Mus musculus: one gene and its partners. The protein of the gene in region 1 interacts with the protein of each later gene in a pairwise test. Links are inferred from orthologs where the notes say so. Each region holds a gene or a part of one and is shown on either strand. Other genes may lie near its edges. The genes, in order: Ddit3, Fosl2, Cebpa and Dbp.

Evidence for each region.
Region 2: the proteins of Ddit3 (region 1) and Fosl2 interact in binary tests that used the Homo sapiens proteins (3 or more experiments, as listed by UniProt). The two-hybrid records come from large-scale screens. The link is inferred for Mus musculus from reciprocal best matches to the Homo sapiens genes DDIT3 and FOSL2.
Region 3: the proteins of Ddit3 (region 1) and Cebpa interact in binary tests that used the Homo sapiens proteins (3 or more experiments, as listed by UniProt). The link is inferred for Mus musculus from reciprocal best matches to the Homo sapiens genes DDIT3 and CEBPA.
Region 4: the proteins of Ddit3 (region 1) and Dbp interact in binary tests that used the Homo sapiens proteins (3 or more experiments, as listed by UniProt). The link is inferred for Mus musculus from reciprocal best matches to the Homo sapiens genes DDIT3 and DBP.

What each region holds. Positions count from the first base shown.
Region 1 is NC_000076.6:127,289,311-127,293,633, reverse strand, and holds the start of Ddit3 (DNA damage-inducible transcript 3 protein), read right to left. Parts: upstream 2,842-4,323; 5' UTR 2,743-2,841; exon of another isoform or gene 2,636-2,742; intron 1-2,635. UniProt on the Homo sapiens protein: Multifunctional transcription factor in endoplasmic reticulum (ER) stress response. Plays an essential role in the response to a wide variety of cell stresses and induces cell cycle arrest and apoptosis in response to ER stress.
Region 2 is NC_000071.6:32,135,046-32,139,287, reverse strand, and holds the start of Fosl2 (fos-related antigen 2), read right to left. Parts: upstream 2,817-4,242; 5' UTR 2,585-2,816; coding exon 2,483-2,584; intron 1-2,482.
Region 3 is NC_000073.6:35,117,829-35,122,115, reverse strand, and holds Cebpa (CCAAT/enhancer-binding protein alpha), read right to left. Parts: upstream 2,824-4,287; 5' UTR 2,809-2,823; coding exon of another isoform or gene 2,698-2,808; coding exon 1,618-2,697; 3' UTR 188-1,617; downstream 1-187. UniProt on the Homo sapiens protein: Transcription factor that coordinates proliferation arrest and the differentiation of myeloid progenitors, adipocytes, hepatocytes, and cells of the lung and the placenta.
Region 4 is NC_000073.6:45,704,026-45,708,058, reverse strand, and holds the start of Dbp (D site-binding protein), read right to left. Parts: upstream 2,813-4,033; 5' UTR 2,436-2,812; coding exon 2,297-2,435; intron 1,454-2,296; coding exon 1,043-1,453; exon of another isoform or gene 484-1,042; coding exon of another isoform or gene 345-483; intron 1-344. UniProt on the Homo sapiens protein: This transcriptional activator recognizes and binds to the sequence 5'-RTTAYGTAAY-3' found in the promoter of genes such as albumin, CYP2A4 and CYP2A5. It is not essential for circadian rhythm generation, but modulates important clock output genes.

The DNA of each region.
Region 1 (4,323 bases):
AGCCCCTCTCTAGATCCTTTCTAACTCCTCCTAGCCCCTCTCTAGATCCTTTCTAACTCCTCCTAGCCCTTTTCTAGATCCTTTCTAAAATGGGTTGTGAGATGGTTTCTTTGTGCATCCCTGGGCATCCTGGAATTCTGGAACTCAACAACTCTGCAGACCAGGCTCCAGTTCTTCTCTTGTAATACACACACACACATACAGAGGTGTGTGTGTCTTGCAGCGGGTGTGTCCCTGAAGCCATTTCTTCTCTTGTAATACACACACACACACAGGCGTGTGTCTTGCAGCGTGTGTGTCCCTGAAGCCAACTCCAAGGACAGAGGCAGGCTTAACTTTATTTTTAGTTGCTGACATTTGCCGTCTTGATTACATAATAGCAAAGTCCTGGCCAACTAAGTTTTCTCTAAATCCCAGATAGACCTCAAGTCCGCCAAAGGGAGACAGAACTAGAGGGAAGGAAGAGTAAACTCAGCAGTGCTTGCTCAGATTCCATCCCCCCACTGGCAGCCTCAGTGCAGACCTGCTCTGGGATCTCCAGCTCCTTGGCAGTGTTGAGCAGGCGTTCAGCTTACATGAAAGGCCTTTCCTACCAAGGCTGTATAGTTCTTACTAAATGGCAACTCTAGGTGCTGAAAGCCAAAAACTTTGGTATCCTTGATGCCCCTTTCTCAGATACCACAGCTCAGCCTAAAGCACTGACAACTTTAAAAGTACCCCAAACCTAAGTATTTCTCATTACTACATTATTTCCAGATGCAATTTTTTATTTTTCATTTATTTATTTTTTTGGTTTTTCTTGACAGGGTTTCTCTGTGTAGCCTTGGCTGTCCTGGAACTCACTGTGGACAAGGCTGGCCTCGAATTCAGAAATCCGCCTGTCTCTGTCTCCCAAATGCTGGGATTAAAGGCGTGCACCACCACTGCCTGGCTCCAGATATAAATTTACCATACATTTCTTTCCCTGGATTATTTTGGAAGCCTCTTTGAAATCTCTCCTTTCTTTCTTCCTTTCCTTTCCTTTCTTTCTCTTTTAGACAGGGTCTCACTATGTAGCTTTTGCTGTCCTGGAACTTGCTTTGTAGACTCTCTGGCTTTGAATTTAGATCTGCCTGCCTTTCAAGTGCTGGGATTAAAGGCTGTGCCACTATGTTCAGCTGAGACCTCCTGTTTCTATTCTTGTCTTTTACTTTATTTTCACGGCTGTGGGTTGACCTAGGGTCCTCTACATACCAGGCAAGCAGTGTACTATTGAGCTACATACCTAACCCTTTGTTTTTGTATTTATTTTGAGTCAGGGTCTCATAATGTAGCCCTGGCTGGCCTGGAGCTCAGAGATCTGCCTCTCTGAGTGCTGGAATTAAATGCATGTGCTATGATCATTCCTCTGCTCAGATCCCCCAATGGCTTCCTGTTTCATGATTGTTAAAGATTAGCATCATGAGGGTGCTTGCAAGGCTCTATGAGACCGGCTGCTTGAGTTTCCTTTCATCACCCTCTCCTGCTTACTCTAGTCCTGTTCCTAAAGATACCGGCATGGCATGCTTATCTTAACTCTGTTGCTCAGCCTCTCCCTTCTATAAAGCTCTAACACCGGGGCTTGGCTCACAGGCTTGGCTTCTGATGACAACCTCTAGTCACCGCCCTGAACTATTCTGCCCTGCTTTTGTTTTTTTTTTCCCTTTTGCTTTATACTGAAATGTAAGTTTTATTGAGAACAGTTTTATCTTTTGCTCCTAATATACCCTGGGTCCCCAGATACTTGGTACATAGTGGGTGCTTATTAGGCATTTGTTAGGAATGAATGGGGAAAAAGCCCCTCCCCCAAGTTCCCTTATAGAGAATTAAGCCCACTGAGCCTAAAGGCAGAGCGGAGCTGGCTGTCTCTGGGGACTGCAGATGCAATATTGCCCTGAGTGTTTCTCTGCAGGGTTGTCCTCTAGGGAAAACTCCCTTGGTCTTCCAGTGTGTGGGACCTGGCTTTCATCAGCAGAGGAGCCCCAGGCCTGAGGGTGCAGAGACAAACAGTGGGCTGGCCTGACGCAATGGTTACACAGTTTAGTTAGGAGACGGGACTGAGGAAAGAAGCAGAGATCAATCAGCCCTGGGAGAAGCAGAAGACCCTGGAGAGATCCCAAATAATTTCCCATAGTTAAAGAGATCCAGGCTGCTCTCTTGTATGGAAACCTAGAAACCTCTGGGGAAAAGGGAAAAACCCATCTATGCTCCTCCCACCAGCACCCCCACTCGCAAAGATCTGTCAGTCTTCGCGTTCTCTTGAACTTGAGAGTCAGCTACTAACGTGGCCATGTTGGCCCCTTGACTGAGGCGCTTCAGCTTGAAAGAGTTGGGGGGAATGAGGCTGGTGAAGAAAAGGCTGAGACAGCCAGAGTCCCCGACTTTGGGGGTGTGTCCTGCTGCCCCGCCTTTCCTGCGAACTGCCCAGGCCTAAGCTGGCCCGCAGTTCGCACTACAGAGACAAGTTCCCGAAGGCAACCGGAGTCCCTCTGCAGAGTGGGGACCAACTCGAGACAAGGGAACGGGAATGCAATCGCCCAATGCAAGAGAGGGCCTGTAAGCACCATTCCTGAATCAGGGATTCCCGGCCTTCACCCTTCCCAGTCTACAAGCTTACAGTGGAAGGGGTGGGGCTACATCCTCCAGAACAGTTGTCTCCAACTTTATAAAATAGCTATGCTGGCCAGGATGGGAAGGTAAGGGTTAGACGGAGCCAGTACTCGCCTCTCTCCTCAGGTTCCGGCTGTTATTCTGGCTCTGTCGCTGCCACCCGCTCATCTTCAACATGATATAATCGACGTGTTAGGCTCAAGATAACTGACCTCAAGAGCGGAGAGCGAGTATCCTTTATGCTGTCCGGCCCCTCCTGGGGGGGGGGCAGGGTCCAGGAGCCTACCAATCAGAAAGCGGCACGCTGGCACTGGCTCCGCCTCATCCCTTACATCCGCCACTCAGGAGTCTCACGGCCCCACCCCCATCGCGCCCTCTGGCTTGAGAGTCTACGTTGTCTCGGACCCGGAAGTGGCTTTGGGTCACGCGGCTTCGCGGAGGAGGTGAGTGAGTCATGCGCGCGCGCGGAGGAGAGCGCGGCGAGGGAGGGGATGGGGGGGCGGGGATGATGCAATGTTTGGCAACCGGTGTCCGCGCGCGCACGCGCAGGGGACGTCGATGGTGGTGGGAGGTGCGGGAGGGGGGCTATGGGGGAGAGAGGAAAGAGGGCGGAGCGCCAGCTCCCAGTGTCCAACGGCCCCAACGGCTGTCCTTCCTGAACTTGTCTGCCCACCTCCCATCACCTTTAACTTACTCCTCCATGAAAGGCTCCCATTTTCCCTGGCCCCTCCCAGCTAATGGGCACCGGGGCTCTGGAACCTCTTTAAAGTTTCCAATTTGTTCACCTGGATTGACATCTCCTCGAATCTTTTAAGAGCTCTCCTCCTCTTTTAGCCTTCTAATGCGTCCCAAAGACTGAGTTCCTTGATAGTCCACCCGCTTCTCTCAGAGAGGCACCTTTAACGCTTGTTTCTGAATCGTCCATTACGTGCTAGGATTGAAGTTCTTTACAGAGTGTAGATTGCTGCCTCCTCCTCATCCCACCCCTGCTTTGTGTGATGCTCTTACGCCCTTCACTAAGCCCAGTATCCACCCTCTTCCTTCTCCGAGATAGCGAGTCCTGTGACTCCCTGCTGAGGAGCTGGCCTCCTGCCTCTAGCTGTCTGAGTTCACGACCTACAGTAGAGCCTGGGACGTGCATGCACTTGAACGCATGATTGCCCTGGACTGGGTCATCAGAGGAAACACAGATTCTAGTTTAATTTGTCCAAGGATTCTACCTTACTCATTTGTAAATTAAACAACGATAAAGGTAAAAAGCAGCTCTGTGGAGAAAACTTGAGTAAAAGTAAAAACATCTTGCAAAACGTATTTTTTTTTTTTTGTGCCATGAAAACAGAGGCCATGTGGTGGCCTATTACATAGTCTGTCGTAGACTCAAGAGGGGCAAGCCAGAGTTTAAGTAGAAACTGAACCAAGACCGGTTGCTATTGGATGGTGCGACGGTGACAGGTCCTTGGCCAGACTGCTCCTTCGCTCCAGACCTTCATTTCCCCTTCTGTTAGTAGAGGTGGGGGGTGGGTTGGACCAGATGGTCTCTCCTGGCCTAAAGACAGACCAGGTTGTCAGTGACAGGCAGAGGTCATGTGACTTGACAGGCTGAGGTCGTGTTGTGACATGTTGACCTGGAGAGGCGGGTCAAGTCTCTGCACACTACCCGGGAAGCCTTTGGGGCGGGGCAGGGCAAGTCGCGAC
Region 2 (4,242 bases), on another chromosome or scaffold:
ACTAGGTACTTAGTACTAAGACGCAGTATTAAGACCTTATGAAGCTAGATGTCGCGGGGGGGGGGGTCGGGGGGGGAGTGCCAGACAGCAAATTTATGGGGATACAGGACCCCACAAACAAGGAGAACAGGGGGAAAATAGTATGCACTTGCACAAGGAAAACCAGGAACTTCTCACAAGTTCCACTGATTGGATTGGTCCACCGTGCAGTCATAAAGGAGGAAGGCCCAGTCACTAACTGCCAGGAAAGCTTCCCCATGTAGAGGGCTGGGAGCAGAGCTGATTACAGACTTTATCTGGCATGTAATAAAGTTACCTTGAGCCCAGATTGGGGTGGGGTAGCAGCACAGACTTGGGAAGTAACAAAAACAGAGGCCTATCACTGGGACCACAGAACAGTTTTATAGACAGCCAGATCAGGGAGGGGGAAGCCTTCCCCCTGTTCCTCGTCTCCTACCCACCGCCCCGACAAGGCTGAGAGTTGGCTTAAGTGGCATTACCTTGCCAATCCCTCTGGTTTGAAAGACTTCTTGCTCATAAGGCTGAGCAGAATAGGCAGCTATACCTGAGAATCGCATGCACTGGTTGCTGCTAATTGCAAAATCCTCCTGTGTTACAGCATGCTAGGAATTAGCCAACAGCTGCTTTTTGCTTGGGTAATGAGGCCCTATTACACACTGCTGGACGGAGCTCTCTTCCTTCATCCGAGCATCGGTTTCCTGTCTGATTTGCTTCCAAAACAGGGAATTGCCTCCGCTCACATCCTGGGCTCAAAGCCCTAGTGACACAGATTATTCAGTTGGGGCACTGATGTCCGGTCTGACTTCCCATCCAGGCCCCAGAGTCTGAGCAAAGCCAGGCAGGGAGATTGTACTGTCAGTGCTCACTGTCTTGGTCTCATTAGTGGAAGAAACAGAAACGCAAAGCTTCTATGTTGGTTGGAAAGGAGAGGTACATGGGGTGGGGTTATTGGATTGGAAAGTAGGGGACAACAGGTATAAAGGACTCTAAACCCATTGATGAGTGATGTTTGGGTTCAACCCAAAACACCAAATGTACTGGGATGCAAACATAAGCGACTACTTCTCAGGTATGATTTGGGTGTTCAGTAGTAAGAAAGGGTCCACTGACTGGACCCTCAATGCTCAGACCAGGCTGTCTACAGTGGGTGCTTAGTAGGTATGGGGCTTGGGAGGAGCTAGACACAGAAAAGTCATTTAGAAGGACTCCCCAGATATGGAACATTACTTTGAGAGAGGTGCCCCTCTTGTCAGATTACAAAGAAAGCCATATTTTTATTATATTTCCCAGCTCACTCCACCCTTCCCTGGAAGACCCCTGACCTCCTATCTGGTTGACTTCTAAAGGTCAAAGTCAAGGCCATGGCTATTGGCTTATGGAGTAACTCTGGCTGCAGCCAGCTTGGCTAGGAACTCCCAGATGCTTGCCAAGGTGGGCTTCAGGTGGCAGAGGACCTTTTGAGTTCATGCAATTCCCTCACAAGATGGTGTTTGTGGTTCCTGCGACACAGGCCAGGTACCCTACCACCCCTACCGCCCCACCAATACCTGTCTGGTACCTACAAAGACACAGATTACAGGCACAATCCTTCAGTGCAAACCAGTCTGGCTGCTTTAGAAAGAGATGTTTTTCTACTTCTAAATCCACTCAGGAGCTCAAGCGATGTGTCTCTTTCTCCCACTTCTCTCTGACAGCTTCTTTGCCCCAGGTACCCCCAAGCCCCTCAAAGTTCTGCTGGGGGGGGGGGGAAGTACAGGCTCCTGCCCAACCCTTACCGGAAGCTGGAGGGGGGGTGTCACAGGAGGTGTCAAGAGCCAATCAAAGCCAGCTTCTTCCTTCCTGACCTTCGCACCTAATTCCCAGGGGCAACCCTCGCCCTCACTCCCAAACACTTGAAGGAGCCCAGCTTTGTTTTTGAGTCCCCAATCCCTTTCAGAAAACAGCTAAGACCGAAGAATAACAGAAGAAGAAAGGGTTAAAAAGCCTTCCCCCCCGCCCCCCCCCGTAGGGTCCTTGACGGCTGGGAGGGGCTTAGGGGGCGCAAAAATTTTCTTGCCTATCCACTACCTAGAAAGAGGAACGTGAAAAGGGAGGGAGAGCGGCTCGGAAGGAGGCAACAGGCTTCCCGGAGGGGACCTGTAATTTCAAGAGCTTTTCTGGAAAATTAAGTACGAAAAGGGGGAGAGGGTGTCGTTGGCTCTTCAAGCCCACTCTCCACTTGCTTAAAAAAAAAGAAAAGAAAAGAAAAGAAAAAGAAAAAGAAAAGTGGAGAGTGGGTAGGGCGGAACAGGAAAAAAAAAAAGAAAAAGAAAAGAAAAGAAACCCACAACTTACAGCGGTGAAGTATTTTTCTAGCCTGGCTAGGAAAGGGAAAAGAAGGAGGTTGGGGGTGGAGGCAGTGGGAGCAAGAAGAGGGTAGGAGTCTGCCCGCGCCGCCAGGTGCACCCCGGCCCGCACGTACCTGCTGGCCGCCGCCACCGCTGGAGTAGGACTCGGCGTGCGCAGGAGAGCCGCTGCTGCCCCGGGACGAGGTGTCAAAGTTCCCGGGATAATCCTGGTACATGATCCGCGGTGGGGGCCGGAGAGGAAACAGGGTGGTTTTCTTCCCCGCCCTCGCCGCGGCCGCGCACAGTCTGCTGCGCGCTCGCTGGTCCACCGGCCCGGCCACGGGCTGGGCTTTTCGCTCCCGGGATGTCCCCTAACCAAGGCAGACAGGAGGCAGCGACACTCGGGAAGTGACCCCCCCGATCGCCGCGCACCGCACTTCGTTTCTGCTCTGCAAGCTCCGCGGAACCGGTTGTCCACCGAGTCCCTCCCTCTAAAAAGTCGGCGCGTCCCTCGGTCCCTCCCCTGCGCGCGCCCTTCCGCCCCCGCGCGCAGCCGGAGCTCTGCCGGGACCCACGGGCTGGAGAAAAATGGGCAACGCAAAAAGACTAGGAGCCCCGCGGGTGTCGCTTGGCAGCTCTGGGGGACTCCCTCCCCGATCTCTCAGGGCGCCAAAAAGGCGAAAAAGAAAAGCTGCCGGTTGGGAGAAACTTCTGTTTCCTCCTTTTAGAAAAGGAGCCCGAGAATAAACTTCCTGTGGCCAACTCGCCGCCTGAGTTTCCCGGCGACTCGGACACTTGACTTAGGACAAGGCGGTGAGCGCCGGTCCAGCGGCCCCGATCGCGCCGGTGGGACAGCGCCCGTGGGATTCTAGGCTGAGCGGTGCTGAGAGGGACGTGGCTCCGCGTCGCAGTGACCTGCACCCCGTGCTGGCTCCAGGACCTGCCAAGCCTCGCGCTTCTCGCCTCGCTTCGCCCTCCCCTCTCTCCCCCTCTTTCTTGCGCTCGCTCTCTTTCTCTCTCTCTGTCCCTGCCGAGCGCCGCTCACTGTCTCGCTTCGAGCCCCTGCGCTCTGCCCGAGATGAGTCACTACAATGGCACGAGTTCAACTCCACACTCTTTATTCTCCAGCCCCGCACCATGTGGATCCACTCACGTCAACCTTAGACTCCACCTTGCTGGGAGGAGCGCTCGAGGCGGCGGGGGAGGAGGCCTGGGACAAGGAGGAGGAGGAAGAGGCGCGGGAGGGGAGGGGAGAAGGCGGGCGGGGCGCTCCCCTCCCGGCCTCGCTCGCGGTCGCGCTGACGCCAGCCACAGACCCCGCGCGAGGAAGGCGGGAGGCGGGGAGGGTGGGAGAGCGCGGCCCTCGCACTACGGGGGCGCCGAGGCCGCCCGCGTTCTCGCCGAACTCCTCCACCCCCCCTGGGGCGCAGCGCCCTTGGTCTGTTCCATTGGCGCACGTTGCCAAAGATGGTCATTTGCGTTAGAGGACGCGAATGCGGGTTTCCTCGCCTTCGGGTGACGTGGAGGGAGAGGGATTCCCTCGCCTGCTCCCGCCTGCGCCCTGGCCTCCCTACCTCCTCCCCTCCATCCCCAACCAAAAGGAAGGGGCGCGGGGCGGGGCCCCGAAAGCGGCCGCGCCGGCCTGGGCTCCGGGTTTTAGAAAAGGAAAAAAAAAAAAAAAAAAAAAAAATCGCAGCCCTGAAGACGAGACGGGCGGCTCAGTGCGGCGCCACCGCGAGGCAGAGAGCCCGGCGCGCAGAGCTGCTCGCGGGGAGGGCGCGGCCGTGCGCAGTCGTCCGCACCCTCAGCGGCGCCGCCCGGTACAGCGGGCGTCCTGGGCGCACCGGGCACCCGCGCCACCCTGCGGCCGGGTCTTGGCGGGGTGCGGCGCGGC
Region 3 (4,287 bases), on another chromosome or scaffold:
AAACTCAGGGTGTTCTCAGCTTAGTCCTTACCCCTTCCTTGACTGCCATGGCACATCACCAAGGTAAAGAGAGACTCCAGAGATGCAAATTTAGGACCCCAGACACAGACAATGCTGTTTCAAACGGAACCCAGCCCAGAGCAAACCTTACAAGTGGCTTCTCTCTGGTTTTAAAAAGACACCAAAATTGAGTTTGATATGTTTATATTATAGATATAATACATACGACATCTAGCATGAAACTTTGTGTCCCCCCCCCCCAAAAAAAAGAAGAGAAGGAAGCGGTCCAGCCCTGCTCCCAGCCACAGGGGTGTGTGTATGAACTGGCTGGAGGTGGCCTTCTTTCCAGACCCAGAGCCAGGGCCGTTGGGGATGGGGTTGGGTGGGTGGGGAAGCCTAAGTCTTAGCCGGAGGAAGCTAAGACCCACTACTACATACACCCTTGGACAACTAGGGGAGAGGGGGAAGCCCACTTCATTTCATTGGTCCTCTGGGAGGCAGACGAAAAAACCCAAACATCCCTAAACCAAAAAGAATGAGAGCCTCACTCAGCTCCTTCCCCCAGCCGTTAGTGAAGAGTCTCAGTTTGGCAAGAATCAGAGCAAAACCAAAACAAAACAAAAGACCAAATAAAATGGTGGTTTAGCATAGACGTGCACACTGCCATTGCACAAGGCACCGCTGGGACACAGAGACCAGATACAAGTGTTGATATCGGATGATAAAGCAAAATATTTGGGAAGCTTGTCATAACTCCAGTCCCTCTGGGATGGATCGATTGTGCTTCAAGTTCCTTCAGCAACAGCGGCTGGCGACATACAGTACACACAAGGCTAATGGTCCCCGTGTCCTCCTATCCCCCACCCCACAAAGCCCAGAAACCTAGGTCTCTGTCTCCTACCACATGGCTAACTCACAACTCAGCTTTCTGGTCTGACTGGGGGTGGTGCCCCCATTCTCCATGAACTCACCCAGGAAACCTGGCCTGTTGTAAGCTGAGTGGGGGGGGGGGGATGTAGGTGGAGGTGCAAAAAGCAAGGGATTAGGAGCCCTCCACCTCCCTGTAGCTGGGGGTGAGGACACAGACTCAAATCCCCAACACCTAAGTCCCTCCCCTCTAAAGACAGGGACTGAGGGGCAGCTCAGGGCACTGCCGGGATCTCAGCTTCCTGTATCTTCCTCCTGCCCTGGGCCTGCACCCTTCATTTTTCTCACGGGGCCAGCTGAGGCCCGAGAGGAAGCAGGAATCCTCCAAATAAAATATCAAGGCACATTTTTGCTCCCCCTACTCGGTAGGAAAAGGAGCGAGTTTTGAGTATCCAAGGCACAAGGTTACTTCCTTAATACTAGTACTGCCGGGCCCCCAGCTCAGCTCCGCGGAAAGTCTCTCGGTCTCAAGGAGAAACCACCACGGCCTGACTCCCTCATCTTAGACGCACCGAGTCCGGCTCAGAGGAAGGGAGGGGACACGCGGAGCAGGCCAGGCTTTCAGGCCACACCGGAATCTCCTAGTCCTGGCTTGCGCGGCCCGGGCAGCCTAGAGATCCAGCGACCCGAAACCATCCTCTGGGTCTCCAGCCAGGGGGCCGGCCCAAGGCGGTCCCGCAGCCGCGCGCCTCACGCGCAGTTGCCCATGGCCTTGACCAAGGAGCTCTCAGGCAGCTGGCGGAAGATGCCCCGCAGCGTGTCCAGTTCACGGCTCAGCTGTTCCACCCGCTTGCGCAGGCGGTCATTGTCACTGGTCAACTCCAGCACCTTCTGTTGCGTCTCCACGTTGCGTTGTTTGGCTTTATCTCGGCTCTTGCGCACCGCGATGTTGTTGCGTTCCCGCCGTACCCGGTACTCGTTGCTGTTCTTGTCCACCGACTTCTTGGCTTTGCCCGCACCGGCACCGCTGCCACCGCCGCCGCCTCCCGTGCGGAGGTCGGGGTGCGCACCGGCCAAGCCCTTGAGCGCGCTCCCGGGGCCAGGCAGGCCCGCAGCACCCAAGGCGGGCGCAGCGTGCGGGCTGGGCACGGGCGTGGGCGGCGGTGTGGGGTGGCCAGGCTGCAGGTGCATGGTGGTCTGGCCGCAGTGCGCGATCTGGAACTGCAAGTGGGGGGCGGCCAGGTGCGCGGGAGACGCGTGCGGGTGCGGCGGTGGCGGTGGCGGCGGTGGCTGGTAGGGGAAGAGGCCGGCCAGCGCCAGCTGCTTCGCCTCGTCCTCCTCGCGGGGCTCTTGTTTGATCACCAGCGGCCGTAGCGCGGGCGCCCCGACGCGCTCGTACAGGGGCTCCAGCCTGCCGTCCAGGTAGCCGGCCGCCGCACAGCCGTAGCCGGGAGGGGGCCCGTGCGCCCCCGCGGACATGACCGCGCCGCCGGGGCCCGCCGGGGCTCCCGGGTAGTCAAAGTCACCGCCGCCACCCGCGGGGCCCGCCGCCGCCTTGGCCTTCTCCTGCTGTCGGCTGTGCTGGAAGAGGTCGGCCAGGAACTCGTCGTTGAAGGCGGCCGGGTCGATGTAGGCGCTGATGTCTATAGACGTCTCGTGCTCGCAGATGCCGCCCAGCGGCTCCGGGGCGGCAGGTGGGGCTGGGGGCGGCGCGGGGCCCGCGCCCCGGGGAAAGCCAAAGGCGGCGTTGCTGGGCGCGTGCGGGGGGCTCTGGAGGTGACTGCTCATCGGGGGCCGCGGCTCCACCTCGTAGAAGTCGGCCGACTCCATGGGGGAGTTAGAGTTCTCCCGGCATGGCGAGCCTCGGCGGCCTCCAGCCTGCGCGTGGCGCCGCTGTCGCCGCCGCCCACCCAGTGCCCCAACTGGCTCGCGCCCGCGCAGCTTCGGGTCGCGAATGGCCAGGCCCGCGCGGGGACCGCTTTTATAGAGGGTCGGGCATCGCCCCCTGGTGTCCAAACGGGTCTCGGATCGAAGGCGCCAGTAGGATGGTGCCTGCTGGGTCTTAGAGCCCGCCTTCTCCTGTGACTTTCCAAGGCGGTGAGTGGGGAGCATAGTGCTAGTGGAGAGAGATCGTGGCGCAACGCCCACTGACTCCTGCGCTGCAAGGCGAACCCGGCTTGCAGCGCTCAGCCCCACCCCGGCGGCGCTGTCGCCCCCGCACACACGTGGTCCGTGGTTAGGCGCCCCTCCTTTAAGCCTCTAAGTCACCCACTTCCAGCCAACACTAGGGAGCCCGGGAGCATCTAGAGGCCGAGCGAGGGGAGGTGGAGGTTGGGGAGCGTTTGGAGAGAGAATGTTGGTTTTGAGCTACCGTAGTGCAGACTTGTGTTAAAAGCTGGGACTAGGCCTGTCTCCCACCCGGATTTCTAAAAGGCTGTGGCGGAGAGCCGCGGCGCGGGAGGTTGGAGACTGCTTTGGACCAGCAACCTAGCGCGCACCGCCGAGTGGCGAGGCCGGGAGCGCAGAGATTGTGCGTCTTTTTCTCTGAACTCCACGCGACCCCACGGCTTCCAGGCAGAGCACCTCTCTTTCGCCCAGCTTCTCTAGAACTACAGGGTCCCACGGGCTCTTCAGAGTAGTAGGGCGCTAGGACCCGGCGGGGAGCGGAGGCGGCCGCTAACCCCGGAGCCTGGTGGACCTGGCTCGTCCACTCGCCTAGGCTGGAAAACTTTCTTTTTCATTGCGTCTCCAGGCCAGAGCGATAGGATTGCTAGGCTTACCAGGCAGACGTTGCTACCCAGCGTGGAGCACTCTAGTCAAGTGTTCGGGACACCACCACCCCACGCCCGGGACCAGCCGGTGGGTCCTCTGAGCCTCGCGGAAAAGGACCCTAAGGAGAGCGCACAGGGGCCGCGAGAGGGCAGGGTGTTGGAGAGGAGTGAACTTGAATCGGGGACTGTGATCCCCAGGCGGGGCCCATAGCCAGGGGCCTGAAGACACAGTTTTCTTTCCCTACTGTCATTCATGGGGGCACTAATCTCGGTAGCTCGGGTGTCCAATTCCTAGCTACGAAGCCTTTCGAGCACCCACTTGGGAGCCCTCCGCGCCGCGCCGCCTACAGGCTCGCGGCTGTGGGTAGGAGTTTGCGTGCATCGGCTCCCAGCCACGTGGCGTCTCGTTCACCCTCCACCTGGATCGCGGCCGCGGAGGTCCGGGGGCAGAAGGGGCCTGGTGAGCACCCACGTCTCTCGTTTTTGCACCCCGAAGACCGCGGCTTCTTGAGCTGAGGCCTTTCGTCCTCTCGAACTCCATTTGTCCGTGTTCCGTGACCTGCTGCGCTCTAGGGTCGCAGGTCAAGACCCCCAGTGCAATGGCCTTTTTAGGCCAGGAAAGGCCCTGCGATCCGCCCAGGAGGCTCCA
Region 4 (4,033 bases), on another chromosome or scaffold:
AAATATCCCGTGAATCTTCTAAAACCTCTAAACTTCAGACTCAGTGTTTTGTTCCCACTGCTGTGTCCGAGTCCTACTTACTGAACCCTTTCTCAGAGCTTAGACCTGTTAGACCAGCACTCCTAGGAGTGATGGAAGTTTCAAGAGCCTGGCTAAAAAAGGTTGAGTCCTGTGTCTTTAAGAACAAATAAGCCCGGGTCAGCCGAGGACACCAGTTCAGGGCCGCATCACGTGTGGCCTACAGCTTCCCCTTTCCCCTCCTCCCCAACCAAGCACCCGCACGTTCCCGGCCCCGCCTCCTCGCGCGTGAGAGCGCGTGCGCGCAGCTAGGAAGGCGGACTCACGTGGCGAGGGAATGTGCAGCACTGGTTTTTGCCTGGAGGTCGGATCAGGGACAGGTGTACCCAGGCGTCCCACATCGAGACTCCTTGTCTTGATTGGGGTCGCCTCCCTTCTTGTTCCTTTTGGTCTCAGCTCCAACATCTACAATGATTCTACCCACCCATCCCGCGCTATGGGGGAGGATCGTGGGAGAACCGGCCTGCCAAGCTCTTTGCCATCCAGATTCCCACAGTTCTGAGATCCTAGGTCCCCAACACAGGGACATGGGAAAGCTCCTCTGTAGAAGCCAGAAGAGGGATCCCGATATTCTCTTCTGCAAGACTGGGAGGCAGGATGCAACACCATCCACTTGGGGAATGGGGTGTGTGCGTGTGTAGGATCCGGGAACGTAGTACCCCGCTCTGGCCTGCTCGCTCCCATTTTTGGTGTCCTTGAAGTCCAGTCCCATCTCGTTTCCCAAAATTCTGGACCCAGACTCTGGAGATAGTACTCTCCAGTTAACTAAGGTGTTCTAAGTTTCTAGTCTTGGCTCCAAGAACATGAGGAAACTTGTCTTAGAGAAGAATACTGCCTCTCAGTGAATAATCCTTTCGCATTTGGGGACCCAAGTCCCCTAAAGGATCGCAGCATCTCATTGGGCAGACTTCCAAAAGTGTCGCGAGGCCCCGCCCTGCCCGACAGCCCCGCCCCTTCGCCGCACCTGCGCGGTGGCCGCCGGCGGCTCCCAGAGTGGCCCGCGCGGGGGCGTGCCCGGGCGAGGAGCGGGGGGAAGAGGAGCTGCAAGAGCCGGGCCCGGGGGAGGGCGCGGGAGTGCGCGCTGGAGAGGGTGCCGGCGACAGGCCCCCGGGGGGCGGCGGGCTCGGCGGTAGCCCGTGCTCCAGCAAGAAGGCGTCCAGGTCCACGTATTCCACGTCCCCGAAAGGCAAAGTGCGTTCCCACAGCAGCGGCGCAAAAAGACTCGGGCCAGCCACAGGCCCTGAGCGCCCCCGAGGGGACCCACCGCCACTAACGGCCCCACTCGGGGCATCGGCTGGGCCCGCCGTTTCCAGGCCGGGTCCCGGGACGGGGGCTGAGGGCAGAGTTGCCTTGCGCTCCTTTTCCTTCAGGAGACCTGTAGGCCAGGGAGAGACCGGATGGGGTGGAGGGACACAGGAGGGACCCCAAGTTAGAGATATGGCGGAGATACAGAGAAGTGAGGAGACGGGAGCCGTAGGGCAAAGACCCAGGGAGGTGGGTACAGGCAGGGAGAGAACCCAGAAAAAGAAGAGAGGGATAAAGACGGGGCTTGGGGAGACCCAGAGAGAAAAGAGAACAAGGCCCCAGCAATAGAGGGTCAGGGAGACGGGGACCCGGAGAGGGGGAAAAGGCAAAAGTATACAGAAGGATAGGGTTAGGGGCCCGGGAGGGGATTAAGAAACACAAGCACAAGCGACCCAGAGAACGAGGATGGAAGTTTAGAAAGAAGGGTTTAGTGACAGGGTGGGTGAAAGGTTGGGCAGGTGAGAAAGAAAAAGTGACAGCTCAGTAATTCTCCCACCCCCAGCACCCTCATCCCCTCCCCCACAGTCTGTTGGGGCTGGAAGGGGCTCCACTGCTCAGGCACATTCCTCATCCCTAGTTTCCATGTGACCCTGCGAGGCCCCGCCCAAGCCCGTGTCTGCACCGTGTGAGCATCCGACACACCCCCTCCCTTCCCCTAGGACTCCAGGGGTCCAGACTCTGAGGCCAAAGGAAAGAAAGAGGGGTCTGGCACCTAAACTCTGTCCTCAAGTAGGAACACTCCAGGGACTTGACCCTTAGGCCCTCCAGGCGTCAGATTTGGTCCTGGAGGCTGATGGACTGGAAGACCTAAGTGACCTAATGAAGACTAGCAAAGATGGGACACCTAGCTGATAGGTGCCGTGGACCACCACCCCAACAGTTGAGTCCCTAACACAGTGGGACTAGAACTCACAGCTGGCCGGTTCTTTGGGCTTGCTGTTTCCCTGCAGAAGGCTCCTCAGCCCAAGCAGCGCTCCCCCGCCAGGGGGGGCCCCAGCCGGGCCACCCAGCAGCAGGGGGCCCGGGGTCCTGTCGCTCAGAGGCCGCGCCATTGCCGTGGACCTGCTCCCAGGTTCATGAGCTCATGGAGAGTCGAAGAGATGAGATGATATGTCAGTCACCCGCACACTCCAGTGGTTCGGGCGAATGTGTCCCAGAGTCGGGAGAGCGCGGCGTGCAAGCCTCCAGGATCAGGACGCTTCAAATCCTAAGAGCGCTGCGGGGGTTCAACCAGTCAGTTCTGCAGAAAGGTGCAACTCAAAGACTGTCCCGGGAGGCTCCTATAGTCTGGGCGAGTGGGTGACCAAATCAAGCAGCTGTCTCTTTGCAACTGTGGGTCCCCAAGGGACACAGGCGCGCGCTCCTTCTGTACCAAGTGGGCGAGTCTCTGGCTCTAGCCAATTTTGCACTTCTCGCAAAGAAAGGAGCTTTGCAATCTGCACCCAGAGGTGTGCACCCAGGGGCGGAGGAGGGGGCAGGAGGAGGTGGCAGCCTTGAGGCGTGGCCAAAGCAAACTTCTTTCGCGGAAAAAAAAAAATCTAAACCAAAACACCGGACGCCAGAGCGCGCGCCCCTCCTCCGGGCCCCCTCCCTCCACTTGGGCCATGCACCCCAGCCGCGTGCCTTCCTCCGGCTTCTGGCAAGAACCAATCACGTCTCGAGCCCTTGAGACGCTCAGCCAATGAGATGAAGGGATATGCCAAGACCCTGGAGGCGCGTGAGGGGCTGAACTTGTGTAGTTGCCTCGCCTTTTGGAAGAAGGCGGGACACTGACCTATATTTGGCCAATGGGAGGAGGCGCTGGAGGCGGGACCGTGACCCACTTCGGGCCAATGAGGCAGGAAGAAGGGGGAAGCACATGGCTTTGCGCGTGCTATCGGATGCGGGTGTGGGGCAAGAGGGGTACCTCTTAAAGGAGCCGAGTGTTCACAGACTCATTGAGGAAAAAAAGCAGAACATCAATTAGAGCAGATTAAGGCAGAAAGAAGTGGGCTTCGGGAAGGATTTTTTTTTTTTAATATCTAGATGTTCCTCAATCGCGACTGATAAACCACCGAGAAACCGGAAACATTCAGTCCTTTTAATAGCTTTGTTTTGGGGTGAATCCCCTCCCCTGGTGAGGAAACTCAGAACAGGCGGGCGTAATCCTCGTTGGGGAGTCTCAGCGACCGTGAGGACCACCGTCCACTGCAAAGGGAAGCACCGGCTTGAGGGGTGTGGGAGCTGAGCACATAGGACTCTACTAGTCAGGCTGCTAAGGGGGAATGGAATATACCAAGTTGGGGGAATGATCAGCTCCTGGACCAGACCATGTAGGGAGGGAAGAAGGCCACATGGGACGTGCAGAATAGGCTGGTTTGCATAAAGGTACATGGAGAGGATATGGTCTTCTGGGCTGTACCATGTTGAGAAACCAGACAAGAAACTAACCGATTTCCCGGGGCCGAGCCACAGTGGCAGTAAGAAAGACAGAGGGATTGTACCACGCTGATTCTCAGAAAGGGAATAGCAGAAAGACTACAGCTCTAAGTAGGGTCATACCATTTGTAAACAGGTGACCTGGACCGTACCATCTTGGCAAGTAACAGTAGGCAGAGGGCATGGACCAGTATGTAATTGTACCACAAGGAAAACAGGGTGTCAGGCCTTA